4 linked regions of the Caenorhabditis elegans genome follow. The protein of the gene in region 1 purifies or fractionates together with the protein of each later gene. This does not show direct contact. Each region holds a gene or a part of one and is shown in the gene's direction. Other genes may lie near its edges.

The links.
Region 2: the proteins of gck-3 (region 1) and shl-1 fractionate together in Caenorhabditis elegans (co-fractionation; one large-scale study listed by BioGRID). This does not show direct contact.
Region 3: the proteins of gck-3 (region 1) and tasp-1 fractionate together in Caenorhabditis elegans (co-fractionation; one large-scale study listed by BioGRID). This does not show direct contact.
Region 4: the proteins of gck-3 (region 1) and F43C11.8 fractionate together in Caenorhabditis elegans (co-fractionation; one large-scale study listed by BioGRID). This does not show direct contact.

Annotation. Positions count from the first base shown.
Region 1 is NC_003283.11:17,961,830-17,968,808, reverse strand, and holds the start of gck-3 (Germinal center kinase 3), read left to right. Parts: upstream 1-2,045; coding exon 2,046-2,232; intron 2,233-3,490; coding exon 3,491-3,675; intron 3,676-5,071; coding exon 5,072-5,299; intron 5,300-6,306; coding exon 6,307-6,531; intron 6,532-6,979. UniProt on the Caenorhabditis elegans protein: Plays a role in osmotic stress responses by regulating ion homeostasis and by controlling cell volume via the phosphorylation-mediated inhibition of the chloride channel clh-3.
Region 2 is NC_003282.8:6,377,026-6,386,841, reverse strand, and holds shl-1 (BTB domain-containing protein), read left to right. Parts: upstream 1-2,771; 5' UTR 2,772-2,859; coding exon 2,860-2,961; intron 2,962-3,524; coding exon 3,525-3,752; intron 3,753-4,590; coding exon 4,591-5,039; intron 5,040-5,056; exon of another isoform or gene 5,057-5,077; intron 5,078-5,447; exon of another isoform or gene 5,448-5,468; intron 5,469-5,607; coding exon 5,608-5,716; intron 5,717-5,822; coding exon 5,823-6,038; intron 6,039-6,305; coding exon 6,306-6,482; intron 6,483-6,570; coding exon 6,571-6,673; intron 6,674-6,938; exon of another isoform or gene 6,939-6,959; intron 6,960-7,074; coding exon 7,075-7,267; intron 7,268-7,874; coding exon 7,875-7,956; intron 7,957-8,005; coding exon 8,006-8,083; 3' UTR 8,084-8,557; downstream 8,558-9,816. Other genes in the region: bli-6 (Nematode cuticle collagen N-terminal domain-containing protein), read right to left, coding at 8,734-9,546, 9,655-9,735.
Region 3 is NC_003281.10:10,756,509-10,764,344, forward strand, and holds tasp-1 (TASPase homolog), read left to right. Parts: upstream 1-2,876; 5' UTR 2,877-3,046; intron 3,047-3,160; 5' UTR 3,161-3,258; coding exon 3,259-3,292; intron 3,293-3,343; coding exon 3,344-3,426; intron 3,427-3,479; coding exon 3,480-3,583; intron 3,584-3,634; coding exon 3,635-3,783; intron 3,784-3,835; coding exon 3,836-3,966; intron 3,967-4,954; coding exon 4,955-5,178; intron 5,179-5,845; coding exon 5,846-5,911; intron 5,912-6,093; coding exon 6,094-6,298; 3' UTR 6,299-6,498; downstream 6,499-7,836. Other genes in the region: rnf-113 (putative E3 ubiquitin-protein ligase rnf113), read right to left, coding at 196-928, 992-1,129; K01G5.10 (Haloacid dehalogenase-like hydrolase domain-containing protein 3), read right to left, coding at 1,168-1,527, 1,578-1,676, 1,723-2,010; dpy-28 (Condensin complex subunit 1), read left to right, coding at 6,639-6,766, 7,435-7,652.
Region 4 is NC_003280.10:2,329,504-2,335,747, forward strand, and holds F43C11.8 (RING-type domain-containing protein), read left to right. Parts: upstream 1-3,016; coding exon 3,017-3,092; intron 3,093-3,137; coding exon 3,138-3,304; intron 3,305-3,416; coding exon 3,417-3,485; intron 3,486-4,011; coding exon 4,012-4,576; intron 4,577-4,621; coding exon 4,622-4,691; intron 4,692-4,742; coding exon 4,743-4,767; 3' UTR 4,768-4,835; downstream 4,836-6,244. Other genes in the region: ZK1240.1 (RING-type domain-containing protein), read left to right, coding at 28-106, 174-343, 387-455, 1,392-1,579, 1,629-1,683, 1,738-2,047, 2,099-2,139, 2,191-2,211.

The DNA of each region.
Region 1 (6,979 bases):
TCCACCCCAAATTGTGATAATTTATTGCGTTTTTCCCCCTAAAAATCCATATTTTCACCTTAAAATTGCTCTTTTTGAGCTGAAAACCTCATTTTCAGCACAAAATTGTTTAAAATTGCATATTTTGCCCCCAATTTGTGACAAATTTATTGATTTTTTTCCCCAATTTTTCCGCTGTTGGAATAGAATTTCCCTGCCTTCTCATCTAAATTTATAATTTGTTCACTGAAAAAGTGGCATTTTTAAGGCGATTAAATCAATTCTATATTGTATTTATTTATTTCTGTGTGTGTGTTTTCAGACGAAAAGAGCGGTTTCCAATGTGTACCGGCTGAAAATATCTTTGATTTTTTTATGATTTTTTTCCTGCTCCTGAAAATTTGAAATTTGGAGCTTTTTTCCATGTAAAATTTCGCTGGAAATTACTGGTAGAAATTCCCCCTAAAAATGAAGAAAATCGATCGAAAGTCTTCAAAATGAAGTATTTTTACAAAAAAAAAAAACAGCGAAAAGCTGGATTTTTTTTGGTAAATAAACTATTTAGAAAATCCAGTTTTCGGACTAAAAAGACTCTTGTAAAAATACGATTTTCCCCAATTTGAAGGTTTTTTTGAAATGAAATTCTAGAGAGAAATTGGCTGAAAATGAACTTTTAGCGCGCAAAAATTTCAATTGAAACTTAAGATATCCGTAATTTTTACTATTTGGAGCAAAAATCCAGAAAAACACCGTCGTGTAATTATTAAAATCTCAAAAATAATTTTTAAGCTATAAAATCTCAATTTCCCGAGCTAAAAGCAACACGTTTTTTAGCTCAAAAATTGGATGATTTCAAGCCTGAAAAATCTTTAAATATTGTTCGGCCTTAAACCAAAATGTTCAACGGAGCTGAAAATTTTGTTTAGCGAAAAAAACATTTACGTATATATAACTTGGAAATTTCTTTGGAAATTGAATTTTTAAGCTCAAAAATCCAGATTTTTGAGTCATATTTGAGTGAAAACTTCCTTTTTTTTTCCTCTTCAACTGACACTGCAACTTTTTCCTCACGAGGGACGAGGAAAAGTGGTTTCTAGGCCATGGCCGAGGGGCCGACAAGTTTCAGCGGCCATTTATCTTGCTTTGTTTTCCGCCTGTTTTCTTTCGTTTTTCATCGATTTTTTCGTTTTTTCTTAATAAAACTGATAAATAAATATTTTTGCAGATGCTAAAACAATTTCCAAGTAAAAAAATTATGTATTCAGTGGGCAAGCAGCGGTGAAAGTGGTCAATGTAAAATGATGGATTACGGGAATACAAAACCTAAACTTTTTCTGAAACATGATACATATGCTGCTTAAATGCTGAGACTACCTGATTTTCATAACGAGTCTGCTGAAAAAGTTTTGAGGTTTCCAAAATTCAACTTTTTTGGTGAAAAAGTCGAGATTTTCGCACAAAAAGTTGAATTTTGAAAACCTCAAAACTTTTTCAGCGGTCTCGTTATGAAAATCAGGTAATTTCAGCATCTAAGCATCATATGTATCATGTTTCAGAAAAAGTTTAGGTTTTGTATTCCCGTAATCCATCATATTACATTGCCCTCTTTCACCGCTGCTTGCCCACTGAATACATAATTTTTTCACTTGGAAATTGTTTTAGCATCTGCAAAAATATTTATTTATCAGTTTTATTAAGAAAAAACGAAAAAAATCGATGAAAAACGAAAGAAAACAGGCGGAAAACAAAGCAAGATAAATGGCCGACTTGTCGGCCCCTCGGCCATGGCCTAGAAACCACTTTTCCTCGTCCCTCGTGAGGAAAAAGTTGCAGTGAACTATCGGACCCAAAATTAGACTGTGATTACAAAAAGTTAGTTTCCAGCCGTTTTTTTTTTTTTTTTTCAAATCTACTATATCCTTAATGATATTACTGATTAATGATATCAATTAATTTATTAATATTGTATTAAAAAATTTCAGAGTCTCATACGTGTGTTGTCCTGTGTACATCATCATCATCATCAACAATATAAATTAATATATAATAAATCAAAAATATAAAAAATGAGCTCTTCGAATCTGGCAGGAAACACGAATACTACAACTACATCATCAGCAGCTTCTGCAGCAGCTGCTCATTCAGCTGCAAATGCTTCAACAATAACATCAGAATACTCGACAACACAGACAACAACTGGAACATTTAACACTGATACATTATCGAGCATCGGATCAACGTCGACACTTCATGGTGCTTTTTTGGATTTTTTTTGCGGTCGAAAAATGTGAAAAATGGCAATTTCTAGCTTGAAATCTAATAATTTTTCCGAAGAAAAAGTAGAAATTTCAATAAAAATTGGGGTTTCCCGATTATTTTTGCAGGTCCAGTAAAATTTAATTTTTATTTAAATTTAAAAAATCGAAAATAATTTTTTTAAGTTAAAAATGAATTTTTAAAGTAAAAATTACATCTTTCTCCTTCTAAAGTTGGTATTTTGTGAGGAAAATAATTAATTTTTACAATAAAATTGAAATTTTCCGGTACAAAATGTATTTTTTGCTTTGAAAAATTGGTTTTTTGGGTATAAATAAATTTTTTTTGTAGGAAATTGAATTTTTCAACGGAATTGAAGTTTTGTAGTGAAAAATCAATTTTTCTCCTTAAAAAATTACATTTTTGAGAAAAAAAAACGAATTTTTACGATCAAATTTAATTTTTCTAATAAAAAATTCGATTTTTTTTTGCTCTAAAATGTACAATTTCTTCATGGAAATATAATTTTTTGGCGGAAAAATTCGATTTTCACTCTAAAAATTTAATTTAGCTGAAAAATTTGATTTTTCACATAAAAAAAACCAATTTTCACTTGGAAAACCCTAATATTTTCAATTAAAATCAATTAAATTTATAAAATCTACATTTCCGATTTTTGTGAAAAAAAAACAAATTTTTTTAATCGGAAAAATTGATTTTTCAAGAAGAAAAAAAGAGTTTTTCCTGTGAAAAGTCGAATTTTTCAACGAAATCTGTTTAAAAATGTCATTTTTGAGTACAAAATTCAATTTTTACTCTAAAATTTTCAATTTTTGTCGAGGAAATATGATTTTTTAGGCAGATAAACTCTATTTCTTCATTTGAAATTTATTTTTACTCCAAAAATGTTTTAATTTAGTTTAAAAATTCGATTTTTATACATTTTTTTTTGTTTAAAAAAAAAACGTTTTTCCCGGTAAAAATTACCTTTTTAAATGTGTAAAAAGTCGAATTTTTCAACGAAATTTAATTTTTGAGCTGAAAAAAAATCGAATTTTCTGCTTAAAAATTACATTTTTAAGTACATACAACATTGAATGTTCCATGTAAAAATTTTCAATTTTTACCTTAAAAACCAAAATGGTTTTTTGAAAAAACCAAAAAAAAAATTACAAAAAAGGTGAGAAAATTCAAAAATCGCGCAATTTTTAGGCCCAAAAAATGAATTTCACCCCTAATTTTTTTGTTGTTGCAGGATCACAACCATCCCAACCACCACCACCACCACCACCTCAAGTATCATCACCGATTGCGGCAGCTGCAGCAGCATCAGCTGCACTTGTTGCACAGCTTAATCCGGCCGATCGATGGCCAACAGAACCGTCGGCTTATAAGTTGGATGAGTCGATTGGAGTTGGAGCAACTGCTACCGTTTTTACTGTATGCTGCTTCTTTTTTGACTGAAAATTACAATTTCTATGTCAAAAAAAGCCGAATTTTTAGACAAAAATTCGGGTAAAAAAACGCAAAAAAAAATCCACTTTTTGTACTGAAAATCTCCGGAAAAGTGGCGAAATGGCGAAAATTACAATTTCTAACCGTCAAAAAAAATTTTTTTTTCTAAAAAAATTAAAATTTCCCGCCAAAAAATTTGAATTTCCCGCCGAAAAATTTTTTTTTCTCAGAAAATTTGAATCTCCCGCCGAAAATTTTTTTTTTCTCAGAAAATTTAAATTTCTCGCCAAAAATTTTTTTTTCTCAGAAAATTTAAATTTCCCGCCAAAAAAATTTTTTTTTCTCAGAAAATTTAAATTTCCCGTCAAAAAATTTTTTTTTCTCTCAAAAAATTTGAATTTCCCGCCAAAAAATTGTTTTTTCTCAGAAAATTTAAATTTCCCCCGAAAAAAAATTTTCGACGGGTCTCACCACGAAGTGAGCCGTGATTTTCCTCTCAAAAATGAGCAAAATAACGAAAAATCCATCAAAAATTGAATTTTTGCGTAAAAATTCCACATTTTTCAACTGGACACCTTCAGAAAAACGAATTTGAATCTGAAAAATTCAATTTTTCAGCCAAAATTTTAATTTGTCTTTGGAAAAACCCGGAAAAATCGCTAGAAAACCCCAAATTTCGGCGGGAAATTTAAATTTTTCCGAAAAATCTCGTTTTTTTCAAGAGAAAAGTGGTGAAAATGTTGATTTTCACCTAATTTTACTTTAAGGTGGTGAGTATCGAGACTTTTGTTTTATTAATGTTTTATTAAAATTGGTCCAAAACTACCGAATTTTGTAATGAGACGTTCTGAAAATTTCTCAAAAAAAAAGTTATGGCGGTTCGGCCGAATAAAGCTCATTTTTAGCTAAAATCAAAATTTTTTCCAACTTCTCAGTGCCACAATACCTGGAACCTAATTTTTATTTATTCATCACTTTTTAATAAATATTGTGGTTTTTGAGTGGGCGTTTATTCGTTGATTTAAGTACATATGTCAGTGGGGCACAAATAAAAGTTAAATTTTGTACCCCAAAGACCATAAATGTACCTAAATCAACGAATAAACGCCCACTCAAAAACCACAATATTTATTAAAAAGTGATAATTAAATAAGAATTAGGTTCCAGGCATTGTGACACTGAGAAGTTGGAAAAAATATTGATTTTAGCTGAATATGGGCTTTATTTTGCCAAACTTTGAACCGCCATAACTTTTTTTTGAGAAATTTTCAGAATGTCTCATTACAAAATTCGGAGATCTGGACCAAATTTGGGTCTAAAAAAGCAAAAGTCTCAAATTTCGGTCGGCTCTACCTTTAAAATTCCCACAATTTTTTTGCAGGCCTACTGCCTTCCACGAAACGAGAAAGTCGCCATCAAATGCATAAATCTGGAAAAGTGTCAAACATCGGTTGATGAGCTAAGTCATGAGATTCAGGCAATGTCCCAGTGTAATCATCCGAATGTTGTTAGCTATTATACATCATTTATTGCACAAGAAGAACTATGGGTTGTTATGCGTCTACTCAATTGTGGTTCAATGCTTGACATTTTGAAACGCAAAGTTAAGGTGAGGAGGTCAAGTTTTGGCCTGAAAAACCCCCAGAAAAATCCGGGTCCCGGGAGATGTCGGCTGCTTTTTTATTCCGCAGTAACACGCACGCGCGTTTTTCCGGGACCCGCAAATTCGTCGGCGCTGCATTTTTTGTTAGGGAAACCAGCGAGGCGTCGGCTGCTCCAACTTGGGCACCCTTGGGTGTCGGCTGCAATTTTATCGAAACTCGTGAGACGTCCGCCGCTGCTCCCGTTTTGAGTGCCCAGGAGATGTCGGCTGCTTCAGTACACATTTCTGAGTACCCGGGAGGGCCTGTTTTTAACTAATTTTTAGTCAACAAAAATTGCGAAAATAGGAACAATTTTGAGCCGAAAAATCGGTTTTTTGACGATTATTAAGCTAAAAATCGAATTTTTCTGAATTTTTAAGTCGAAAAATGCAGTTTTTGAAGCATTTTATAACGCTAATCTATTTTTTCTTGAACTTTTGAGCTAAAAAATTACAATTTCCTATAATTTCAAGCTAGAAAGGCATTTTTTTATTGATTTTTGGCAAAAAAAAACAACAATTTTTCCTCAAAAAATCCCCACACCCGGAATATGCCGGCAGCTCTCACTTGGAGACCCGTGGGACGTCGGCTGCTTTATTGAACATTTCAAGTGCCCGGTGGAATGTCGGCTGCTTCTTTTTTGAAAACCCATTAGGTGTCTGCTGCTTCTGATTGGGGATCCCTAGGGCCCCTGAGATGTCGGATGCTTCATTGCCCAGTTTTTAGAGCCCGGGTCCCGGGGGATCCCTAGGGCCCCGGATATGTCGGCTGCTCCCTTCCACGGTCCCGTTAAGCGAAAATCGCACACCCGGAATATGTCCGCGGCTTTCTTATGAAAACCTGTTCGGGGGCCGGCTGCTTCTGTTTTTGGAACCCCTAGGACCCCGGAGGTGTCGGCCGCTTTTGACGGTCCCGTTAACTGTCGGCTGCTCTCCCCGTTTCCCGCGCAAAAATGTCCATCTTCAAATTTCAGGCAATTGGAAAAGAACAGGCGCAATTCGGTGTCCTCGATGAAGTATCAATTGCTACAGTACTCCGTGAAGTACTAAAAGGACTCGAATATTTCCATTTAAACGGACAAATTCATCGTGACATTAAAGCCGGCAACATACTGCTCGCCGACGATGGAACTATTCAAATTGCCGATTTTGGAGTATCTGGATGGCTTGCTTCTTCTGGTGGTGATTTGTCACGTCAGGTAATAATGCTGCTTTTTTATTGAAAATTCCACCACAAAAAATTGACTGAAAAACTGAAAATTCCATGTTTTTCGATGGAAATTTGAGAATTTTGGCGCGGTTTTGAGTAAAAACGCTGAAAAATCCGAATTTTTGGAATGTAAATTCTAGAATTTCGTCAAATTTTAAACGTTTTCCGAAAAATTTGCTGAAATCTGAAATTTGGATTTCCCGCAAAAAATTATTTCTCAAAAATTTTTTTTCGAAATTGGAAACCTAACGATGTCGGTTTTTCGATTTTCCGAAAAATCGGAAAATATGTTTACAAAAATAAGAAAACATATAAATTTGACATATACATATATATACCTATAGACTATATATATATATATATATATATATATATATATATATAAGACTATATATATAAATAATGCTATATATATATATATATATAATGCTCAAAAT
Region 2 (9,816 bases), on another chromosome or scaffold:
GAAAGTTTGTTAGGTTCACTAACTGCAACATTCGTCTGACTTTTTGTTTTTTTAGACTCCCATACCTTCTCTTTGTTTACTGAAAAATTATTCACTGGGAGTATTAAAAATATAGATGCAATTGGAAACAGTCATCGATTTTACTTTTTATTAGCTTTTTCAATTGTTTTCTTACGTTGTCAGAGTGATTGTTTGCACTTCTGCAAAATATGCCTATTTAATTTACTGTTTCTTGAGAAATGTATACAGTCATTATTTCTAGCGATACTCACAATTTTATTGCATTTCCTTGTCTAGCTTCTAGTTTTAATAAATTGATTGCATAAATATTGGATATACATAAAAAGTAAATAATACAAAATCTGACGACTTGACACAATAAGACTTCGTGAAACAGTTAAAATTTGATAAATTCTAAGGAACCCCTATGATAGATAAACAACATCATGTTTTATATGCGTTTTGATACACTCAAAATGCTAAAACTGCTGGGTGCCCTAATTTTTCAGGCCTAAATTTTGAAATCTGTGCAAACACGCCACACAGTTTCATCATATTGAGTGTATGTTCCTAGAAAACTTTCAATGAGTTTATTGATTCCGGAAAATGAGAATTGCCCAAGCAAAATCTACCCCGCAAACACAAAACAAATTATTTTAAAAATTCGGAAGACTAGGCGATAGGCAGGCAGGCTCGCCTAGCCCAAATTTTACTACATAAAGTACGCCTCCGCATTTCAAATGTGGAAATCGTAACAGTTAATAGCACTATTAACGTATTTTAAGAGATTACCGTTTCACAACCATTTGAAATGATTCTACAAAACTCGTTACATACTGCATTAGTGTTTAAAACAGTGAGAACTACAGTTAGAAACAATGTATCCACAAGTGACAGTCCACTTTCAAAATATTAACGTTTCACAACTATTATGAATAGTTTTTTAAAATAGTTTTTTAATCGGTACGTATTATAGTTATTTTGATCAACTAGTTCATTCTTGATTATTCTTTCCTCTTTTTTTAAATCCAATTTAACCGAAAAAAGCACAAAAAAAATGAGGAGAGCCAGTCAACTACTGCCAAAGCAAGCATTTTTAAAGTCTAAATTAAAATTTCAACAAATCAAGTAAACAAGAAAAATTGGGTTAGGCACGCAAAATTATCCACGGGACTATCAAACACCATGCTTCACCCAAATATGTAGAAATTAGGCGTTAGGCAGGTAGGCAATGGTGTTCTTTCCTAACATGAAGTTTAATTTGACTAATTGAAGTACACATAATCAACCTTCAAAAAACTTTTCAAAAAGTTCAAAAATTTTCAAAAACAATTAAAAACCCTCCAAAACGTGATTTCAGATGAACTTCAACTTGTACTTTTTCTAAACAATTCTTCAACTTTTCCGTAACGTGCCTTTTCTTTTTTCAGCTTATTTTGCTTATTCTTTTCTTCTCTCTTTATCCAATTCAACCGAAATAAGCACAAAAAATCGAGGAAAGCAAGTCATCTCCTCTCAGGCAAAAATTGAATATCGAGTTTCATTTTCTCTCTCTCTCTCTTTCTTTTTCTTTTTTTTCTAGTCTGAAGATGTCTTCAGAAGAGGTCGACTTTTCCAATTTTGTCTATCGTTTTCTCTTTCTTTTCCTGGCATCAAGGAGCCCGCGAGCCTTTAGAGAAGAGGGCTCTTTACACACAAAATTGGATAAAATTGAAAAAGAAGAGGAAAAGTGTGAAACTGGAAATGTAACACTTCTTCCTTCCCTCCAGTTCTTTTCTCTCCTTTTCTTTCCTTCACATTTTCTTTTGTCCCACGGCTTCTTGCTTCTCGAACCGATCTCGACGTCGTCTCGCGTCGTTTACGGGTAATTTGAGCCCACACGTCGTCACCCGTTTGGAGCTCTGCGCCAAGGAAACCATCAAAATTGGAGTGGGAAAGAACCTTATGTTTTTGCAAAACGACAAAAAGTTTAAAGTTGGCTGCTGTTTCTAAAAACGTTTTTTTTTGAAACAAGTGCACTTTTGCAGTTTTTTGTGACGTGCAAGCCTTCTAGACTTCACTTTTGGCTTGAGACCACTATTCAGCTATATAGGTTATGTATTCTGAGAAAAAAACATAGTTTTTTTTGTTGTTAGGTCAGAGTTACCGTAGTTGATGTATTGCAAATGTTTGCTTAAAACAAATTATTGATTTGAAAATCTTGATTTTGAAATTGAAAATTTTCCTGTGATTTTTAAGTGAAACCGTAAGTTATATATTTTTTGGCATAGCAAACTAAAATTTCCGTTTCACAGTCATTTGAAATGATTCTACAAATTTCAACATATACTACATATGGCTCCATACTTTAAAATTCGTAATTTCTAAAAATATTTCTGAATTATCTTGAACTCGAAAACTTAGTCATCAGCCCTTTGTGTCTCCAATTTCTTTCCAGAATGTAACATTTCTGAAACCCCGGTTTTCCAATGTACCCGCATATCTCACGTCGACCGACCTACCTATGCGCCTGTATTTTTATGATATGTTATTATCCCAAAACACATACAGACTTACCCTTTTTTATTTCGATTAATTTATTTCAAACTTCAAACGAAAGCTCGATTATTTAATTTTCAAGCAACTGCTGTTGTAGACCACTTGAAATATAAGTTTTCAAAAAAATCAAACTTTCAAATTCTTCAATATATTTCCAATTCCCATAAATGATTTCTTTTCTTTTCATTAATTCGCTTCAACTTTCAAAATTATTTTCATAACTCCTGCTTTACAGCGTACCCAGCAAAATAGAAAAAATTTTCCTGAAAACGACGTCATCAGGAAAAGTGTTCAGAATCCGTCGTCGTTGTCTTCTTCAGAATGGCTTCGGTGGCGGCGTGGCTGCCGTTCGCGAGAGCCGCCGCTATCGGATGGGTTCCCATTTCGAGACAGCCCATGCCACAGGCCCCAGTTGCAATACAGGTTAGGTTTGGTGGGAATAATTTTCTAAATTTAAATATAAAGTAGTCCAAATTTGATCTGAAAAAATTGCGCCAAATATTTATTTCCCGATGTTTTTTTACACTGTGATATTTCTAAAAATTTTTGTGTGACGCCACACATCTTCATTTTTAATGAGAGACACTTAGGCAGCATTCTGTGTTTCTATTCGGTCATTTATAGACACTATAAAACAGTGGAAATTTCCACGTTCTCACAATTAGGAATTCTTGTTCGCGGAAAAGGTTCAAACATCAAAAAATACGGAATTCTTTCATAAATTCTTGTTCACACACGTGTTAGGTGGTCGATGTCTTTTGAAAATTTGGAAATTTGATACGAGTGTCATATGCAATGAGAGATTAGATCCTCTTTTTAGTTCCAGGATCCGTAGTGAGAGGGAAACTAAATATACATTTTGAACTTTGGATATGCAAAATTTTTACTGTTTCATTTATTTGGCAGATTCCTCTTTTTCATGAACTAATTTTTTGTGTTGCCTGTAGATCTCTATATGTTCACAAGCTCTCAATGTGATATTTCAGGCCAAAGACCTCGCGGTTGATCATGTCTCTGACGAAAAACTAGCAATCAACATATCAGGACGAAGGTTCGAAACGTGGAAGAACACGTTGGAAAAGTTCCCAGAGACTCTATTGGGGTCAAATGAAAAAGAGTTCTTTTATGATGAAGACACTGGGGAATACTTTTTCGATAGGGATCCGGACATATTCCGACACATTCTCACATTTTATAGAACGGGAAAATTGCATGTGAGTTGTTTGTTTTTGTTGTTTGAGCCAGTTTGAGACAAAAAATTGCAAGCATTAAAAATTAATGTTTTTTGAAACAGTTTTTTTAAAAATAAACTCTCTTCAACTTTCTAAACTTCCGCTGAAAATGTTCTTAAAATGTAGAATCATGCTTTGACATTTTTTCTATAAAAAATCAAATTTTAACCCATTCACATAGGCGCTAATGTCCCCGTCTACCAACAAAGCAGCATAGACCTGTCTCGAGCCTACAGACAAACCGCAGGCGGGCAGCAGGCAGGCGTTAAAATTAAAAATATCTGCCTACAAACTTACGCATTTGTTTTGCAATTTTTTTTTGGAAATATACAGAATTCAATTGATTGTAAAATAGATGCAATTTTTATTCAGAAAAATATTAAATCTTTTGAGCAATGCTTTTTGAGAATTTGGAGCATCGCCGGAGAATATTTTAAATTAATTATGCCTAATGGTGCTTAAATGGCCTAATAATGTAGTAAATCCTTTATAAATTCAATTTTTTTTAAAATTTTATTCAAAAGTGACGATTCCTCATTTTTTATTTATTTTAATAATGCGTTAATAAGTTTTACTCAAACACTGTATGAGTATGAACTTGTAAGACTGCTAGATATTTCTCAAAGGAAACGGAGTAATATTTTTCGAAAATAAATTTTAATTTCAAAATAAATTTTATTTTGTATTATAATTTTCAATATTATTTTTTAATAAAAAAAATCTTTGAAAAATTTAAGATTTTCGTTTGAGTATGTGGTGACTTGTTGAAATCTATTAAAATGCGCCACTTTCCATTTTTCCCAGAAATCCATATTTTCAGTATCCCCGTCATGAATGTCTTGTTGCATACGACGAAGAGCTCAGTTTCTTTGGAATAATGCCTGATTTGATATCAGATTGTTGCTATGAAGACTATAAAGATAAAAAACGAGAAAATCAAGAAAGATTACAAGAAGAACGTGTAGAAAATGCGGATATATCAACATTAAAATTGTCTCTTAAAGAGAAAATGTGGGCGGCATTCGAGAATCCGCACACAACATCAATAGCACTTGTATTTTATTATGTCATTGGATTTTTTATTGCTGTATCAGTGATGTGTAATATAGTGGAAACAATACCTTGTGGGTATGAGGATAATGTGTCTGTGACGTGTGGAGAAGCCTATGAAGAGCAATTCTTTGTTATCGATACAGCGTGTGTTATCATTTTTACGATTGAGTACTTTTTACGGTTGATTTCTGCGCCGGACCGAATCAAATTTATGAGGTACGTTTCTTTTAATATCAATATGTAAACTTCTCACACTAATAAGTTAAATATTCACTGATTTTATCAAACTCATTTGAAACAGCAATAAAATTTTGAATTTTCTAATTATCCAATTTTGACGCTTTTTGATTACCTATCGGCTTTAGAGACAATTTAATCAACCAATTATTTAATACAAAAATAAATTAGCAAAACGCAATTAGGAATAATAATCAAATAAAAACGAATTACCCAATGCTATGGGAAAGTTCGCGAAATTCAAGATTTGAGCTAAAATAATCGTAATTCTTTTCAAAATCTTGTGCCGCCAAAAAAAAATTGGAAAATTTTTTGAGAAGTCTCATTACAAAATTCAACCATTTCAGTATGACCCTCTAGCCCGTCTTTAATGCATTTTTATGATTTCAAAAGTTTTGTTCAAAATTATCAGTTCAAAAATATAGAGATGTTTCTCATAACAATCATGAAACTGTAAAATAATTAAGGACACATTTGTCAAAATTGGATAACATGTTATTTATTCGTCCTTATTTTTTTAACCATTTAAATGGTTTTCTTTTTTCAGGTCAATAATGAGTGTAATCGATGTGATTGCCATAATGCCTTACTACGTTAGTTTGGTACTAACTGACAATAAGGATGTATCCGGCTTGTTTGTCACTTTAAGAGTTTTCGTAAGTTTTTTCTTTTGTTAATCCTTAAATTGAATATCCAAATATTTTTTCGAACATTCTGATAAAAATCATTAATTCTTTGATCAAATCCTTCTAAAATTTACAGCGTGTCTTCCGAATATTCAAATTCTCACGACATTCCCAAGGTCTTCGAATTCTGGGTTACACTCTTAAATCGTGTGCAAGTGAACTTGGATTCCTTGTATTTTCACTGGCAATGGCAATTATCATATTTGCCACTATTATGTATTATGCGGAGAAAAAGGTCGACGCGACGAGATTTACCTCGATTCCGTCAGCTTTCTGGTATACAATTGTGACTGTGAGTTTTTCTTTGTAAAATTAAGAAACGGGGTTGAAATTTTGATTTTTACGTTAAATACTCTCCATAAAACCTTCAACGTTTTGCAAATACCTTATCCCAAATGCACTAGGAAAATGTAAATTTTAAAGTTAATATTTGCATTGGAAAAATTAAAAATTAAAATATTTTTTTTTTAATTATACAAATCACTGAAGACTAAAGGTGAAACCTATTCATACAACACAGTCATTGTTTTTCATAATAAAAAATTAATTTTTCTTTCAGCTAACAACTCTTGGATACGGAGACATGGTTCCATCAACAATAATGGGTAAAATAGTTGGAGGAGTATGCTCACTGTCTGGAGTGTTGGTTATTGCTCTTCCAGTTCCAGTTATTGTCAGCAATTTCTCTCGAATTTATCATCAAAATCAGAGAGCTGACAAGAGAAAAGCACAGAAGGTATGGTTTTTCGTTCAGTTGTAAAACCTTTTTAAACACTTAGTGATTTTTTTGCAAATTTGTTGGATTAAATTTAATCAATTTTCAGAAAGCCCGTCTTGCTAGAATTCGGATCGTTAAAAACGCGTCTGGACTAGCATTATTCAATAAGAAGAGAGCTCATGAAGCTCGGATGCTAGCATTTGAACAGGGTAAGTTGGTTTTTTTTTTCATTAGAACATTTCGTATTGCCGGCTTAAGTTAGTTATTATTGAGTTGTCACAAAAATATTTAACTTTGGAAATATAGAAAAGTATTCCATTTTGTTTTTCGGTCTCTTGGCATTTCTGTTGGCTCAAAAAAAGCAAATATAAAACATTAAAATTAAAAATTAATAAAAACAGTTCGTGATTCCGCTTGCTCAAGAGGGCACAAATTTTGAATCCGGTATAAAAAACAGATTCTGTGGTTTTTTTTTATTCCGTTTTTTTATATTTAATGTTTTAGGTTTTCGGTTACTTAATTTATTAGCAATGTGAAACATTAAAAAAAAATTATGTGTACAAAATTCTAGATTATAATTGAGATAACTCTAAAAAGTGCATTTTTGCAGGTCATCTCTCTTTCGATGCTCTCCGAGACGAAGATATCTTCGAAATCCAACATCATCATCTTCTTCAGTGTCTAGAAAAAGCGACGGAACGTGAATTTGTTGAATCAGAAGTGATGTTTGAAGGTGGAAGAAATACTCCTCCGCCCAGTGAAACAGCTTCATTGAAAGGAAAAACAAAGCGTAAAAGGCGATTGTGAGTTTTTGATTTTCAATCCTTTGAAGATTTATTAGTCTCTGGATTTCAGGGTAAAAAAATAAGAAAAAATTTTATACTATTCATCAATAAAATAAATTATCATCAAAAAAATTCACTGATGCTTTCTTTTCGTTAATGCATTTAAAATGGAAAATAATCATGAATGAAAATGAAAACTGTAGAAAATATTGTTGCGTTTTAAAATCCAAAATTCAAAAATATGCCTCTGCAACCCTGGCTAAGATGTCTGCTTGAATTCCCACCAAACATAGAACAAGGATATTAGGCAGCGTTGAAATACCATGTTTTCAAAAATTGTAGTTTCAATTATTTCTTGAATTTTTTTGAGTTTCTTCTTTGTCAGCAATATTTTGAGTATTTTAAATTAGAACCCCATTCGAAAAGTGAGTGTACCACGAAATGGTCTCGTTGGTGCAACTTTAGAGGGAATTCAAATAGCAAAATTGACAAAAGTGGAAAAACCTTAAATTCTTGATGTTGGATTTACTTCTTATTTTTGTCATTTTTCCTTGGTGATATTTTTGATTTTTGGATCACAATTTTGAGTTAAAACAACAAATCTCCTGAAATTTATTTTTTTTAGATGCTGTGTTTCAAAAGAAAATGAAGAAATGGAAGAGTTGGATCGAGAGACTCGTGTAACATTCAATCAGAATATGGATCAGGTATAAACTAACACCAGTTATTTGTTGAAAATTATATTATTAATTTCAGATTTGTGAATTACCAAAACCTGATGAAATGGAACTCAATCATCGAAATAATGACAAAATTTGCGTATCGCAACTGTAATCTACTTCTTTATTTTATTTTTTTAAAATGATTTCTAAAAATCATTTTCTATAGAAAATTTCTCTCATTGCTCTACCGGTTCCGTCTTTCTAGAAGCTAGTTGTTCTTTTACAAAAGTTTTCTGAAATCATCCCTCCCAACTATTCGGTTTCCCCAATCTCTCATCAACGATGCAATTTTGTTTTTTTCTGTAATTTTTACTTTTTCAAGTTAGAAACAAATATATTTCCATTGAACCCGTTTCCCGAAAAACTTCATATCGCTCTTTTTCTTTTTCAGTTCGAGGTGACTTTTCTCTAAATTTTCCCCGCTACTAGGAGCCTCTCCGATGATCTGCCCATTGGTGGCAGATGTCTTTCATTTTTTTTTTGATTTTTCAGATGGAAATATAAAATTGAAGTAAAATTAACTTTTTATGTGCAGTTTTTTTTTTTTCAATTTTCCAGGTCTGTCGATAAAGTTTTATTTATTTTCTAATTTTAGAAAACCACAAAGGGAATTACTTTTTTTTAACTTAGTGAGCTGGTTCATTTGTATCAGCTCATTGCTGAAAAAATGTAACTGTACAACATTCCGCTTCATTCCAATTGCATTTTAAACTACAAAAAACTTTATAAACAGATACATAAAATAATGCAATTATCAACAGTTTATCGTCGGGTTCCGTCCTCAAAGAAGATTCCTCCATCGATAGCACAATACTTTGGACAGATTCCCTTCTCTCCAACACTTCCTGCTTGTCCGGCTTGTCCAGCTGGTCCTGGATTTCCATCAGATCCTGGTTGTCCTGGTTGTCCAGATGGCCCCTTTGGTCCTGGTTGACCTGGTTGACCATTTTGTCCTGGAGTTCCTGGTTGTCCAGGTGGTCCTTGTGGTCCAGCCTCTCCTGGTGCACCTGGTTCTCCTGGAACAAGTGGCTCAGATGGAGCATCTTGACCTGGGTTCCCATCTTGCCCTGGTGCTCCTGGTTGTCCATTGACTCCTGGTGGTCCCTTTGGTCCTGGTTGACCTGGTTGTCCATCTTGTCCTGGACCTCCTGGCTGTCCATCAAGTCCAGCATCTCCAGCTGGTCCTGGTGGTCCTTGAACTCCTGGTGGTCCTTGTGGACACGGTTTGCATGGTGGTGGGGTAATTGGGTCACATGGAGCTTGTGGTGGACGTCCTGGATTTCCAGGAAGTCCAGCTACTCCAGGCTTTCCTGGACGACCTGGCTTTCCTGGGGTACCGACGGGTCCAGCTGGACCTGGAAGACAGCATCCAGAGCAGGATCCTCCAGCGGCCCCAGCAGATCCAGCGGCACCAGAATCTCCGTAAGAAGCTTGACGGGCGGTACGGTTGGAACGGATCGAGGAGACCTCGTTGAGAATGTCTTTAGCAGAACCCTTACAGTACCGGATCTCGTGATGAATACCCTTCTTCACGTGCGAGACGTAGTTGTAGACCATCGGAAGTGTGATACATACCTACAAAAAAGTTCATAAATGGGTTTTTGGACACAGTTTAATTTTTAATTCACTTCCAAATTATCAAAGAAATCATAATATTAGTCTTGTTTCTACGTTTTTACTCACCGAAAGTACTGCAACAACACTGAATGTAACAGCAGCATAGGCCACAAAGCGATACGCTTTAACACGAGTCTCCACCTCCATTTCTGAAGCCGACAAATTGTGGCTTTGCCCGTTTCTCTTATATATTGTTCAGTTTTTCAACGGTTTTCTCAACATCCGATA
Region 3 (7,836 bases), on another chromosome or scaffold:
AAATCGTGCCGCAGAGTTGCGAAATTAGGCTCCTCCTCTCTTTCTAGTTATAATGTCTTATTATTGTCCAAAAAATGTGAAAAAAGATTCACGCTTGTCCACGTGCAGTATCCTCCGTAACATGTAAGTATCAAACTGCGCCGAAAAACCTTCCAAAACTTGCGAAAATCACGAATTAATCGTTCTATTTCAAACCTTTTGCGGTATTCATAATATTCTCAGTATTCTGCTGACATATTGGGCATTTTGACGACTTTTGGAACGATTTCAACGCACAACCGGTGCAAAAGTAGTGCTTGCATTTTGTCACGATCGGATCAACAAATGGATTTCCGCAAATAAAACAATCCTCCGGAAACGTATCGTCGCCTTCATGAATCTCGTAATTCGCATCGTCTTCAGCACCATATTTTCCTGCTTCGTACTCCTCATCAATCTCCCATCCGTGTTTATAGTCCGATCGGTCGTGCACAAATTTACACGAATCTCCAAACGTACAGAATCCAGTCTCCTTGTAATCCTTGCAAATATCCGGTGCAAAATCCCAACGGACTGTTTGTCGTAGAAATTGTGGCGCCCGAACGGGCCCAACTCGATTATAACCACTTGCAGCGTTTCCCTTGGCCGTATCCTTCGCCTCTTTGGCTCCATACAGTGCACTTCCCTTGTACAGAATTTTTCCGTCTTTCTCGACGCCTTCCTTCAGTTGCTGTTGGACTCGTTCGAATTGAGCCTGGGCATCGTGTGAATAGTCTGTGTCCACTTCGAGTGTTGCAGTGGCACCTTGATCACGTGGTCCAGATGGACCGGCATCTCCTGAAGCGGCGAACGAGTGAGTTGCTACTGCGATATCCTGATTGTCGTCAGAGTCGTCAGAATCATCCGATGAATTATCAGCACGTCGTGTTGAGGCGTCTAGTTGTTTGGTCTGAATTTCAAAGTTTATTGGGATTTTCCAAAATTTTGGAGCACTAAAGTACCAAGATCTCACCGACTGGACCATCGGATTCGTACGACGTCGCTTTTGAATCACATCCTTCACTTCTGAATCTTGATCCTCATCACTTGAGCTTTCCTTTTTACGAACGACGGGTGCATTGCGCTTTTTCGGTTTTCGGAAGAGATCCATTATCTGAAAAATTAAAACTATTTATTAAATTCAATTAATTAATAAAGCTTCAAATCTGACAAACGAGAAATACAATAAAACGGTTCAACATTATGAGAGGAAGATGAATCAAACAATAGAGCTCTACAGCCGAAATTTTTGGCGCCATGGAAATCATTTTTCAAATTGTCTCCAATGTGCAAGATTTCCGAGGGAGAAATTAGATCGAAATGGTTGACAACTAGCTGGAAGATCTTCTCATCGGGCTTTTCGTACCCAATTTCGCCGGAGAGAACTGTCATGGAGAAAAGATCGAGTAAATTGAATTGAGAAAGTAGAGATTTCAAGCGACTATCGAAATTGGAGATGACAACCAGGATGATTCCTTTCAGGCGAAGTTTTTGCAGAGTTTGGCGCGTCTAAAATGAAAAATTGCAGTATTTTTTTTTCAACAATTCACAAAATTTACATCGCTTTCAACTAGTTTCCACGGCTCAGGAGTTGCATAGTGATTGTACAAAGCTCCAGCGATCACTTCAACCCGTCCTTTTTCAGAATCCGGAGCACACTGAAACTATCAAGTAGGGGACTTGCCTAATTCAGATTACACCTACATCCAAAAGCGTAGAAGAAACTACTTCAATCCACCAACTTTTGTTTCCAATTCCATTGAACCCAAAGCAGGGCGATGCGATGCTCATTCGTTTATAATTTTTAAGAAAGCTTCCCATGATTTGATCGGAGTCGACTTCCAAATCATATTGCCTCGCGAAACGGGAATAAACTATCGGTGGAGACTCTTTCATCGTGATTAGTGTATCACGAGCATCTAGGGAGAGAACTTTCACGACTGGAGGGGTGGAAAGGTTACGAGAAGTTGTACGGAGCAGGTTGGAGAGCATTGAGCTAAATATGGAAATCTAGAGTTTTTTTTAGATTTCCAAAGAAAAGGTTAGTGTGTTGATTGAAAATTTTCCTCCAAATTGGCCGAAAACAATATTTTAACGACGGAAATACTGCATTTTAACTATTTAAATGACGATTTCGTAGAAAATAATATTGGAAGTATCGGAAATCGATTTTTCGAATTCAAACATCAGGAATTTTTGAGAAGTTTTTCGAGATGCATAGGGATAACACTAGGCTTCTTAAAAGAAAAAAGGTTTTTGCATCCGAATTTCAGAGATATTTCTGTAGAAAAAAAAGAGTTCAATTTACTGTTCAAACTCTCCAAATAACGATTTCTCAGCCAAAATCAATTAATTTCCAACACCTGATTTTGAACAGAATAACAATTTTTGAACAATTTAAAAGAAATCTTATCACAAAATTCGTTCATTTTGGCTTGCTTCGAGTATTTAGAAGGAAAAACTAGAGATTTCCTTGACTCCACTTGTTTCATCGATTAGGAATACTTTATCTAAAGATATTTTTTATATTTAAACCTATTTCTTTATTTAAAATCCAAAATCGCAAGAAATCCCTCATAAATTCGTCAAAAACAAAAATAAACTAAAAAAACACTTTTAAAAAATCGATAAAATTCGAAAGACCCGCGTGCGGCACGGAAAAAGTGGGCGGAGTGCGCCGAACGCAAACCACTCGCACACTTCTCATACACTCCGCCACAACACGCTCCACCGGAGTGTGTGACACAGCGCGCCAACTTGAAAATGGCCGAGAGAGTGTCTCGTGCTCAGGTCATGCGCGGCCTAGTTTTACCATGTGATTTTGACGCCAATTCAAATGATCACATTTCCTCGTGCTTTGCAGCGCTCCTTCTCCTCGTCCAAACCCGTCGAACTCGTGCTTTTCTCATCGCAAAACTGCTCGCTGTGCGTACATTTTCACAGACAACTCAAAAACTATCTTAAAAAGCATCCCGGGATTGTTGTCGTCGAGAAAAATCTCGCCCAAGAATCGCCAGAGCTAATTGAAGTGAGACTTTCTTCTACGTCTACGTTTTTTTTGTTTTGTATTCTATTTTCTCATTTAATAAAAATATAAATACAGAAAATTTAAAAATAGGTAGTTTAAATTCCTAATTTTCAGAAATTCAAATACGACATTCCCGTCCTGGTGGCCGGAGATAATAAAATCCTTCTGAAACATCGATTCAGTGGAGTTCTACTCGAAGAAAACCTCAAAAAATGAGCAACTGCGAGATAATCGCGGTGCACGGAGGTTTGCGCACACTAATTATCGATTTTTTGCGGCAAAATTTAAATCTTGCAGGTGCGTGTGCTAAATTCGACGCAAGTCTTGCCGAGGACTGCCGTTTTGCGTGTGGTACAGGCACTGTTGAGAATGCGTTGACGGTGAGGAATTCTTTTTTGGTTTTCTCACGAAATATATTTAATTTTTTTTGCAGGATCTTGAAAGAATAGAAAAGTTCAACTGTGGATTCGGCTCACATTTGACTATCGATCAAGAAGTTGAATGTGAAGCATCATATATGTCATCCAAAAATTTAAGGTTTCCCTAAAAACCATACATTTCTCCCTTACCGATTATTTTCAAATTCAGTTTCGGCGCGGTCGGCGCGATTTCCAACGTTTTCCATCCGTCCCGAGTGGCACGTCACCTTGCACATAGCAATTGGTGGAAGCAGCGACGTCTTCTTCATCCCCTTATTCTTGTTGGTCGTGGAGCAGAGAAATATGCTGTTAAAAATGGTAAATTTCTGAATTTTGAATTTTAAATCTCGAAAAATCATTGGATTTTCAGATTTTCCAACGTGTACACCTGAAGAACTCGTATCAAAAGCGGCGAAAGAGAGCTTTGAGAAGTATTTACATCGAATGCTTCATCCATATGATACACATGACACTGTAGGAGCTATTTCAATTAATACCAATGTAAGGATGAAGGAAAATTCGAGATTGGTTCCTTTTCTCAGGGAAATGTGTTCAAAATATGAAAAATTAGCGCATTTCTTCTATCAGATCCCAAGAAATTTCAGAGTTCCCGAAAAAAAAAGCCTTTTTCGAAAAAATGGCATTTTCATTAATATTTTGCTAGAAAAAACCGAATTTCAATGCAAATTCCGCCCTTTTGACTCAGATTTTGCCTAATTGTCCACAAAAACCGTTTTTTTAGTCGAAAATTAGCATTTCTTCTATTAAACTCCAAGAATAATCCGAAAAATATATTTTTAACTACTTTTTGACCAAAAAGTCCGATTTTTCAAAATGAAAAATTCGTATTTTCCGTTAAATTCTTACGTAAAAAAGCTATTTAGGCTGAATTCTGTGAAAACGCTGAAAAATCCGATTAAAAAAAAATTTTCGCCGAATTTCGATGCAAATTTCGCGTTTTCGATCCAGAATTGGCCACAAAAAAAAAGTTTTTTAATCGAAAAATAGCATTTTCCTTTATATTTCTATGAAAAAAAAGCAGTTTCAATGTGAGTTTCTGAAGAAAAAAGGTGGAAAATCCCATTTTTAAATCTATTTTCCACCAAAGTTCTATCAAAATTCTACGTTTCCTTGTGGAATTTTCATTTTTCCCGGAACAAACAGGTTTTAAAATTGAAAATTAGCATTTCTCCGGCAAATCACACGTATAAAAGCTATTTCGATCGAAATACGAGTTTAAAAAACCAGATTGTCAACTCCATTTTGGCAAAATTCTATAAAAATCTCGAATTTCCTCTATTTTAGCCGGTTTTGGGTCTAAATTTCTCTGAAAAAAAAAAACGGTTTTCAAATAAAAAATTACCACTTTTCAGTAAAATGCCAATTTGGTTTGCAAAAAAAAAATCGATTTTCAAAAGTTTTTCCCCCTGAATTCTATCAAAATTTCGTATTTTTCCAATTTTCGCCACGAAAAATGTCTTTTTTGCAGACAATGAACTCAGAATCCGGTACTTCAAGCGGTGGAATTGTGCTAAAACACTCGGGACGGCTTGGTCACAGCTGTGTATATGGAAGTGGAACATGGTCTGAACGAAGGCAATACGAAGAACCATTTGATCAAGTCAGTGAACGAACCATCTCGATTTGTTCGACAGGACACGGTGAATCACTTGTGAAAGCCGATTTCTGCAGGGGTATCGCCACGAGAGTGCTGTAAGTTTGGGAAATTATTGAAAATTTGGAGATTTTGCGCGCACTGGATCATTTTCCGTAGAAATAACTTAAAACTGAGCAGTTTTAGATGTAAATCAGCATGAAAATCCACAATTTTGATGATTTTTGAATCTTTTTTCGAACAATTAGCACAAAAATCTATAATTTTTGGAAATTCTGACCAGTTTTCTTTTTAAAAAAGTTGCTTAAAATTCGGGGATTTTGCGCGTTCAGGACCATTTTCTGTAGAAATTGCATAAATTGGGACGTTTTTAGCGATTACAATTTTACAAAGGCAATTTTCTCTCAAAATTAGCACAAAAATCCACAATTTCCTATCTATTTTCTGCAAAAAATAGCTCAAAATTCGAGATTTTCATATATTTGTGATCTGAAACAAACTGCAAATCCAAGTTTTTTACCGTTTTTCTTGAAAATGTAGCACAAAAATGTAATTTTTGACTGTTTCTAAACTTTTTTCTCTTAAAATCGGCAAACAATTGATAAATTAACAATTTTTAAATTATTTCCCTTACAAATAGCTTTAAAAATTGTAAAAAAAAGAAAATTTAATATTAAAAAAGATTTTACGACTAAAAAAAAAGAGATAAATCGCTGCGAGACCCTAGTTACCATAACAACAACGCATCAATTTTGTTTCTTTCAGAGACGACGAGGAGGGTATCATGTACAGTGAGATTATTCGAGAATTCATACACGAAAAAATGGAACAGTAAGTAGATTTATTATTCCATTCAGAGCAGCATATTTATATTTAAATAATTGAAAAATTGAACATCGAAAGTTCGAAAAAAATGAAATTTTTCATAAAATTTTGTATCTGTTGATGAAAAAACATAATAAAGCTTTATATATATATTTTTCGAAAAATCGAAAAATTGATTTTTTTTGCAGTGGATCCCGATACGGTGGCATCGCATTGATCGCCGACAAATTCAAAGATCGAATGTCGCTGGAATTTCTGATTTTCCATAATTGTCGATATCTTCCGGCTGCAGTTCGTTGTCGAGACAATCAGATTCGTGTTTTTGAATCACAATTCGATCCGGATCAATGTACTACTGATCCTAAATGTGTTATCGAGTCATTCATCATGTAATAATATGTATATGATATCAAGAATTCCGCGTTTAAAACTTAGAAAAATCTGGAAATTGTGTTTTTTTTTCGGAATTTTCCGGGGTTTGAATGCGGAAATATACAAAACAACTCCCCCACTCCATCCGATTTCTCTCTCAATCCTCCGCTGAAGAATATTTTATGATTTGAAATTAAAATGAAATGAAGAATTTTGTAAATATTTTAATTTTTAAACTTTTAATTGTTTTTTCTTTTATTGAATTTATTCTAGTGCTCACTTGCTCGCTTAGAAATATCACTGATTTGTTATTATTTTTTAAAAACTAATTTCCCCCTTCTACAGGCTTTTCCCCTAACAAATGCCGAGAAAACAACGCGTTGTCACTACACCGTCACCACCGACTTCAGATGAAGATGAGGATATGGATTTTGGCTCGACGAGCCAGCAACAGCAGCAGCAGCCGACACGGAATAATGATGGATTGAGGTTGAGAATTTCAGTTGGAAAATTATAGATTTTTCAGTTTTTTTTTTCGTGAGAAAAATCAGATTTCGTGCACAATTTTCACATAAAAAACTAAAAAAATCAGTTTAAAATTCGATAAAAAACTTAATTTTTTCCGATAATTTCAAAAAAAAAAATTTAATATCAAATTTCAAAAATTTCAATTAAACTCCAGATTTAGATATATTTTTCTCAATTTTTACTGAAATTTCTCTGCAAATTGCAATAATTTCGATGCTTTCTTCACTGAAAAACCCATAATTTTCATTTAATTTCATTTAAAACTAATATATAATTTTTTACAGAACCTTTTATGGAATTTTCTAGAAAAAAAAGTAAAATAAAGAATTTTTCCTGTGAAGTTTAATAAATATGCACCGTTTTCTAGAAAAAAAAGAAAAACCATGGATTTTTCCGTTTTTTTTTTTGAAATTCATTTCAAAAACCGAAAAATCAGTTTTTTTTCCATTTTTCCTCAATCAAAAATAATTTTTTTAAATTTCCACAGAAAATGCAGAAGTAAATCGGAATTTTTTAAAACAAAATATGAAAAAAAAATCACAAATTTCTTCAAATTTCTCCTGAAAAACCGAGAAAAAGGCTGTTTTTTTCCTGTCAAAAACTCTAAATTTTCAAATTTTTTTTTTCAGTGGCTTCAAAAGTATCACGGAAATCATCGCCGAAGCTGACAATAATATTCCATCCGAACAAATCGATAAGGATATCGACAGTTTCTCTTCATATTCGGATATTTCTGATTGGAGAGGAATTCCAAAGTTCTTTCCATCGTTGAGCTCACTTTCACGGCGAGCTTCTACTTATGAGAATTGGGAAAATCGATTCAAAGTCGTCGATTATCTCGTTTCTTGTGCGTTTTTTGGTGGAATTTTGGAAGTATAAAATATTGCTCTAAAACCCGATTTTGAAGAGAATTTTTTTTAATTTAAAAAACCACGAAAAAGTTCAAATTTGCTATATTTTAAGAGGAAAAAAGTGCCCAAAACTCATTGATAATTTCCTGAAAAAGCAGAAAAATCGACAGTTTTCTCAAT
Region 4 (6,244 bases), on another chromosome or scaffold:
CTTCTCGAAATTCTCCAGTCTCCAGAAATGTCAAAAGTTATCGAATGTGAAATTTGCAATCTGGAGTTCTCAAGTGTCAATGAAGATCAGGTTCCAAGAATTTTGAGTGAGTATATTTTTTTCTGTCAAATACGAATACGAAGCTTGAATCTAAAAATAGGTAAATGATTCAGAATGTGGCCACTCGGTTTGTCAGTGCTGTGCGACAAAACTACTAAAAAACTCGGCGATTTCTTGTCCATTCTGCCGGGAAACAACAAGTGTCAGTGCGGTAAAGGATCTGCAAAAGAATTTTGCACTGCTGCAAATAATTGAACACACGAAAACTGAACGTGTAGAAGAGGTACGATATACTAGATAATTTAATTAATGAGAAAGTTTTTCAGGAAGATGAAGCAGATGTACCGCCAAAATGCGCGACCCATAAATATAATATGGCGGAGTTCGTTTGTCTTGTGAGTTTTTATCTGGAAAATTTGAAAAAAATTCTGGAATGTTTTAGAAACTTCTAGCAATTAAAAAAAATTCCCGAATGGTCTAGAACTTTCTGGAAAATTCAAGAAAATTCTGGAATGTACTAGAACTGTCTGGATAATTCGGGAAAATTCTGAAATGTTTTAGAATATTCTGGAAAATTCAAAAAAACTCTGAAATGATCTAGAACCTTCTGGAAGGTTTGAAAAAATTCTGGAATGTTTTAGAACATTCTAGAAAATTTGGGAAAATTCTGGAATGTTTTAGAAACTTCTAGCAATTAAAAAAATTCCCGAATGTTTTAGAAACTTCTAGCAATTAAAAAAAAATTCCCGAATGTTCTAGAACATCTAAGAAAATTCAAAAAAAAACCTGGAAACTTCTAGAAAAAAATCTCCGGAATGTTCTAGATCCTTCTTAAAAATTCCAAAAAAATTCTGGAATGTTCTCGAACCTTCTGAAAAAATTATAAAAAATTCTGGAATGTTCTAGAACCTTCTAGCAAATTTCAAAAAATTCTAGAATGGTCTAGAACCTTCTGTAAATTTTGAGAAAATTCTGGAATGTTTTAGAAACTTCTAGCAATTAAAAAAAATTCCCGAATGGTCTAGAACCTTCTGGAAAATACAAGAAAATTCTGGAATATTCTAGAACCTTCTGGAAAATTCGAGAAAATTCTGGAATGTTCTAGAACCTTCTGGAAAATTTTAGAAAATTCTGGAATGTTCTAGAACCTTCTGGAAAATTCGAGAAAATTCTGTAATGCTCTAGATCATTCTGGAAAATTTTAGAAAATTTTGGAATGTTCTAGAACCTTCTAGCAATTTTCAAAAAAACTCTAGAATGATCTAGAACCTTCTGGGAAATTTAAGAAAAATTCTGGAATCTTCGAGAACCTTCCTTAATTCTCCTTCCAGGACCCCAACTGCTCCTCCGACGAAAAGCTAATGTGCCGAACTTGCGAGGAGTTTGGAGTTCACGCCGGACACTCGAAGGGCCTCCTACAGACGGAAGCTTTGAAATTGAGAACGTTGCTCAAAGATAAGCTTTTAAAGTCCGAAGATCAGATTGTTCAAATTGACAAGAACATTGAAGAGGTTGACAGGTTAGTTTAAAAAGCGGTAGATCACAATTTTAGCTCGCTGAAATTTCAGCGCCCAGCAAACAAATCAAGTAGATGGGAAGGTGTTTCAAGATAAAAAAGATTTGGTTAGTGATTTTTTTTTGAAACGGGGACGAAATACAATTCCAGAACATTTTCAGATATCCGTCTACTATACCTCAATACGAGAGACCTTAGATGCCCAGGAAGCCCTTGCAAATCAAAAACTACGCGAAATTGCAGAATCCAATTCAGCTAGCAATAAATTACTACTAGAAGAATTGTCGGAATCCCTGGAAACCCAGAAATTGAAAAACGAGAAATTAAAGTCGTTTCTGGGAATGAGCAACGCGGATTTGTTAGCTCTAAATTCAGAAATTCAGCTCTGGGATGACTCGGAAAATACAGAAGTTGAGCCTATTCAGTTTGATGTAGCATTAAATTTTCCAGAAGTGAACAGGTTAGCTGTGGGTAAGTGGATTTGGAAGGAAGTTGGTAGATCAATGTCAGGAAGTTTTGTAGATGTGGCAAATGCTTCAATGTCAAGCTCTCTGGAGCCAGATGTAGGTTTTAATGATAATTTAGCATTTGTATTATAGGTACATGAATTTCAGAATATAACCCTGTGGCTTTGAATGTTCCAAACAAGGCAGTTTTTTGGTTTTAAAGTTTTCAATCATTTTTTACTTTGTACAAATACCGATAAACAACCGAAAATTCAACTCTCCAATCCTGATTTTTTTGGCCCTTTTCGGGCAATATAAATTTTTGAAATGTCTAATTTTTTGGTATTTTATTTTTCTGAGTTCTCATATTTTCTAGGATTTATTTTTTATCTCTTTTTTCTCCGCCTAGCCTACATTTAAGCTTAAGTCTAAGCCTAAGCTTCATCCTAAGCCAAAGGCTAAGCCTAAATCAAAGCCTAAGCATAAGCCTAAGCCTAAGTCTCGAAAACTTGAAAATCGGAAAACAAAAATTTACGTTTTTTCGATTTTCCGGAAAATCCAAAAATCGAAAAAAAAAATGATCTAAAAATTAATCATAAAATACGATTTTTATCTAATTTTTTTTCTATTGATAAGAGAAAAAAATTTCGAAAAATCAAAAAAAAAAACGAAAATTTTCGATTTTTCGATTTTTCTAAAATAAGCCCGCTCCCGTACAAACAGTGCTATAGGTGCTCGGCAGGTTTCAGGCAGGCGCCAGGCTCTGAAAACGTTTTATTTTACGAAAAACTATTACGAAATCCGTAGTAACTGACCACATAGAATTAGCAATAGTGTTGAAAATGGTGTATCTAAACTGATATGAGTCAGCAAAAAATATTTACCGGTTTCCGTGTATTCTTGGTCACCAAATTGTTATCGTCTTATCGCAGTGTCAGCGGGAGAACTCCCAAGACCATTCGTTTATTTTTCCAACCCTCCGTACAGTTCCGAAATGTCATTTATTGAGTGTGAAATTTGCAACGAAGATTTCTCAAGTGCCACCGATGAAAATATTCCTAGGATTTTGAGTAAGCTTTTGCTACCTTTCCTAAAATTAAAAAATAAAAATTCAGGATGTGGCCACACAATTTGCCATGGTTGTGCAGAAAAATTGCTCCAAAACTCTATGATTTTATGTCCATTCTGCCGGGAAGCAACTAATGTCAGTACAGTGAAGGATTTGCAGAAGAATTTTGCATTGTTACAGGCAGTTGAACACGCTAAGACTAGAACTGAAGAGGTTTTTTTTTCTAGAAATAAAGTTATACATATAAATATATATATATATATATATACATATATATATTTATATATACATATATATATTTATATACAAATATAAAATTTTTCAGAAAGATCCCATTGATTCACCGCCAAAATGCGCTTCTCACCAGTACAATTTTGCGGAATTTGTGTGCATTGTGAGTTCTTTATAGGTTTTGATAGGCCCCAAAATGTCAACTGTAAAAAATTTTTTAAAAAACTTACTATTAGCAGCCGACAACTCGCCGGTTTCTGAGAGTGCGAGGTTAATAGCCAAAAAATAATGGTACGTGGGAGCCTAGTTCAGGCCAAAGTCTTGGCCTAGATTTTGCTCAACTTTTGTGGTCAAGCTCGGCATTTGGCTATAAATTCTTGGCCAAGTTTTGCCCAAAAAATATTAGCTTGGATCAGAAGTTTGCTAAACTTGGGCAAAACTTTGGCAAAACTCGGATTCAGGCTGCACCAAAGGTTTGGCCCAAACTTCTCTTATTTCGTTTCAAACTTATGTAGAAGTTTGGCAGAGTTGGTTGAACCTTTTTTTAAACTTTGGTGGAGTTTGAATCCAAGTTTTGCCCAACTTTTGCTCAACGTCTGAAACAAGTTATTATTTTTTGCGCCAAACTTGGGCCAGAAGCTAGAGCCAAATGCACCTCTTCTTGCCTGAGAAACTAGCATTCTTTCCAGGAGCCCACCTGCTCATCTAGCGATAAGCTCATGTGCCGTACCTGCGAAGAGTTTGGAGCTCACGCCGGACACAATCGAGGCCTACTACAATCAGAAGCGGCAAAGTTGAGACAGTTTCTGAGCGGGAAGCTTTCAAGATCCGAAGACCTGGCAAGTAAAATTGATGCGAATATCGAAAAGATCGGAACAGCTCAGCTAACAAATCTCGACGATGGGGAGGTATTTCAAGAGAAAAAGGTTTCGATAATAGCCTTCTACGCTTCAATACGAGAAACCTTGGATGCTCTCGAAAACGATGCTCTTGCGACGCTTCAGAACATCGCGGAAACTAACTTTTTCACGAACGACCTGCTCATCGCAGAGCTATCGGAATCCTTGAACCGGCAAAAGCGAAAAAGTGCGGAGCTGAAGCTGTTTATGAAAATGAGCAATGCAGATTTGCTCGCGGTGAATTCTGCGCTGGAAGTGAGCAGCGAGAATGAGCTCTGGACTGAATTTGCTGATGTTGAGCCTGAAGTTTTTGACGCAGCACTGATTTTTCCAGAGATGGATAGGCTTGTCATACGTAGGTCTTTGAAAAAATATTGATTGGAAAAATTGGATTTTTCAGAAGTCACGAAAGTTTCTAGAATTGACAACAATTTGTCTCGCGAGTTTGAAGAATTTTGCAGGGCTAGGAGGTAAGCTAACGAGAGAAATATGAATTTTTATATAAAAGTTTTTTTTTTCAGACAACCTGCTAGCTGCTCTGATTGATGCCAACGACGGTTTTATAGGATATTTAATTGAAAATGTTTGTACATAAATAAAAATGTGATTGATGATTTTGTTGCGCTTCAAAAGCGAACAGACATGGGCCAATCTTTTTCAGAGTTTTTTTTCTACAAATTCGGCAAATCGGCAAATTTGCCGGTTTGCTGATTTGCCGGAAATTTTCAAATGCGGCAATTTGCTGGAGATTTTCAATTTTGGCAATTTGCCGATTGCCGGAAATTTTTAATTTCAGCAATTTGCCGGTTTGTCGATTTGCCGAAAATTATCAATTTCGGCATTTTGCTGGTTTGCCAATTCATCGGTATTTTTTAATTCCGGCAATTTTCCGGTTTGCCGATTTGAAGACATTTTCAACTGCGTCAATTTGCCGGAAATTTTCAATTTTGGCAATTTCAAAATAGATATAAGAAGATTCATAGGATGCGTACAATTTTACCGATTAAAATTGAAATTCTGAAACTTCCAAAAAAATGTGCAAGACCACAATTTGGCAAAAAATGTTCCACAGTTGCCGTTTTTCCGGCAAATTCGGCAAACTGGTAAGTTAGTTTTAAATTCCGGCAATTTGCCGATTTGCCGATTTGCCGGAAATTTTCAAGTGCAGCAATTTGCCGATTTGCCTATTTGCCAAAAGTTTTCAATTCCGGCAATATGCCATTTGGCCAATTTGGCCGGAAAAATTATTTGCCGCTTACCCCTGAGCGATTGAAAAACCCGCTTGTGATATCATGGGTAAAGATTCCAAGAGATTTGACTCAAAATCGCTGAGACGGAAGGATTATCAGATTATCACTATGGTTACCATGCGCCTGTAGCTATTTTTTAATATTTTTGCTCACCAAGATAATGCTCAAGAAGATTATGATCACCATAGCAACTGAGCTCTATCGCTGAGCTGGCTCCGCGGCTCTCCTCATTCCATCTCCTTTGGGTGCCTACGGAATGTGCGCCCTCCTTTTTTCTCTACTATTGATTTTATGTTAATTTCTACTAAACTTTGCTGGTTTTAATTATTCTCGACAGGTCGAATAAATGCTTGAGCAAAAAAAAACTTTTATTTTAAAAGTTTCAAGGTGAGCAAAACTTGCTAATATCCTTAATATTTTTTTCTGTATTCCAGACTCGGCTACAACTCCCACCGTCAGACACGTCATAGTAACTTACTTCTTCAATTATATCAAATTTTTAAAAAATTTTATTTTTTCATTTCTGCTCTTGTGCACCATCGTCCTAAAAAAAAGTGAGTTATTTTTCTGGAAAATGTTTCTTTTGTGTTCCGATTTTTACGAGTTTTTTTTTCAGAAATTGGTGATCTCGTTATGGAATTAATTGTTGAATTATTGAATTAAAATTGTTATAATAAATTGTTTTTTGTTTTGGTTTTGTTCCGCAAATTTTTTACCATATGGTATGACGTCATAGGGTTGTGACGTCACTACTAAAAAGCGAGGGTCTCCTT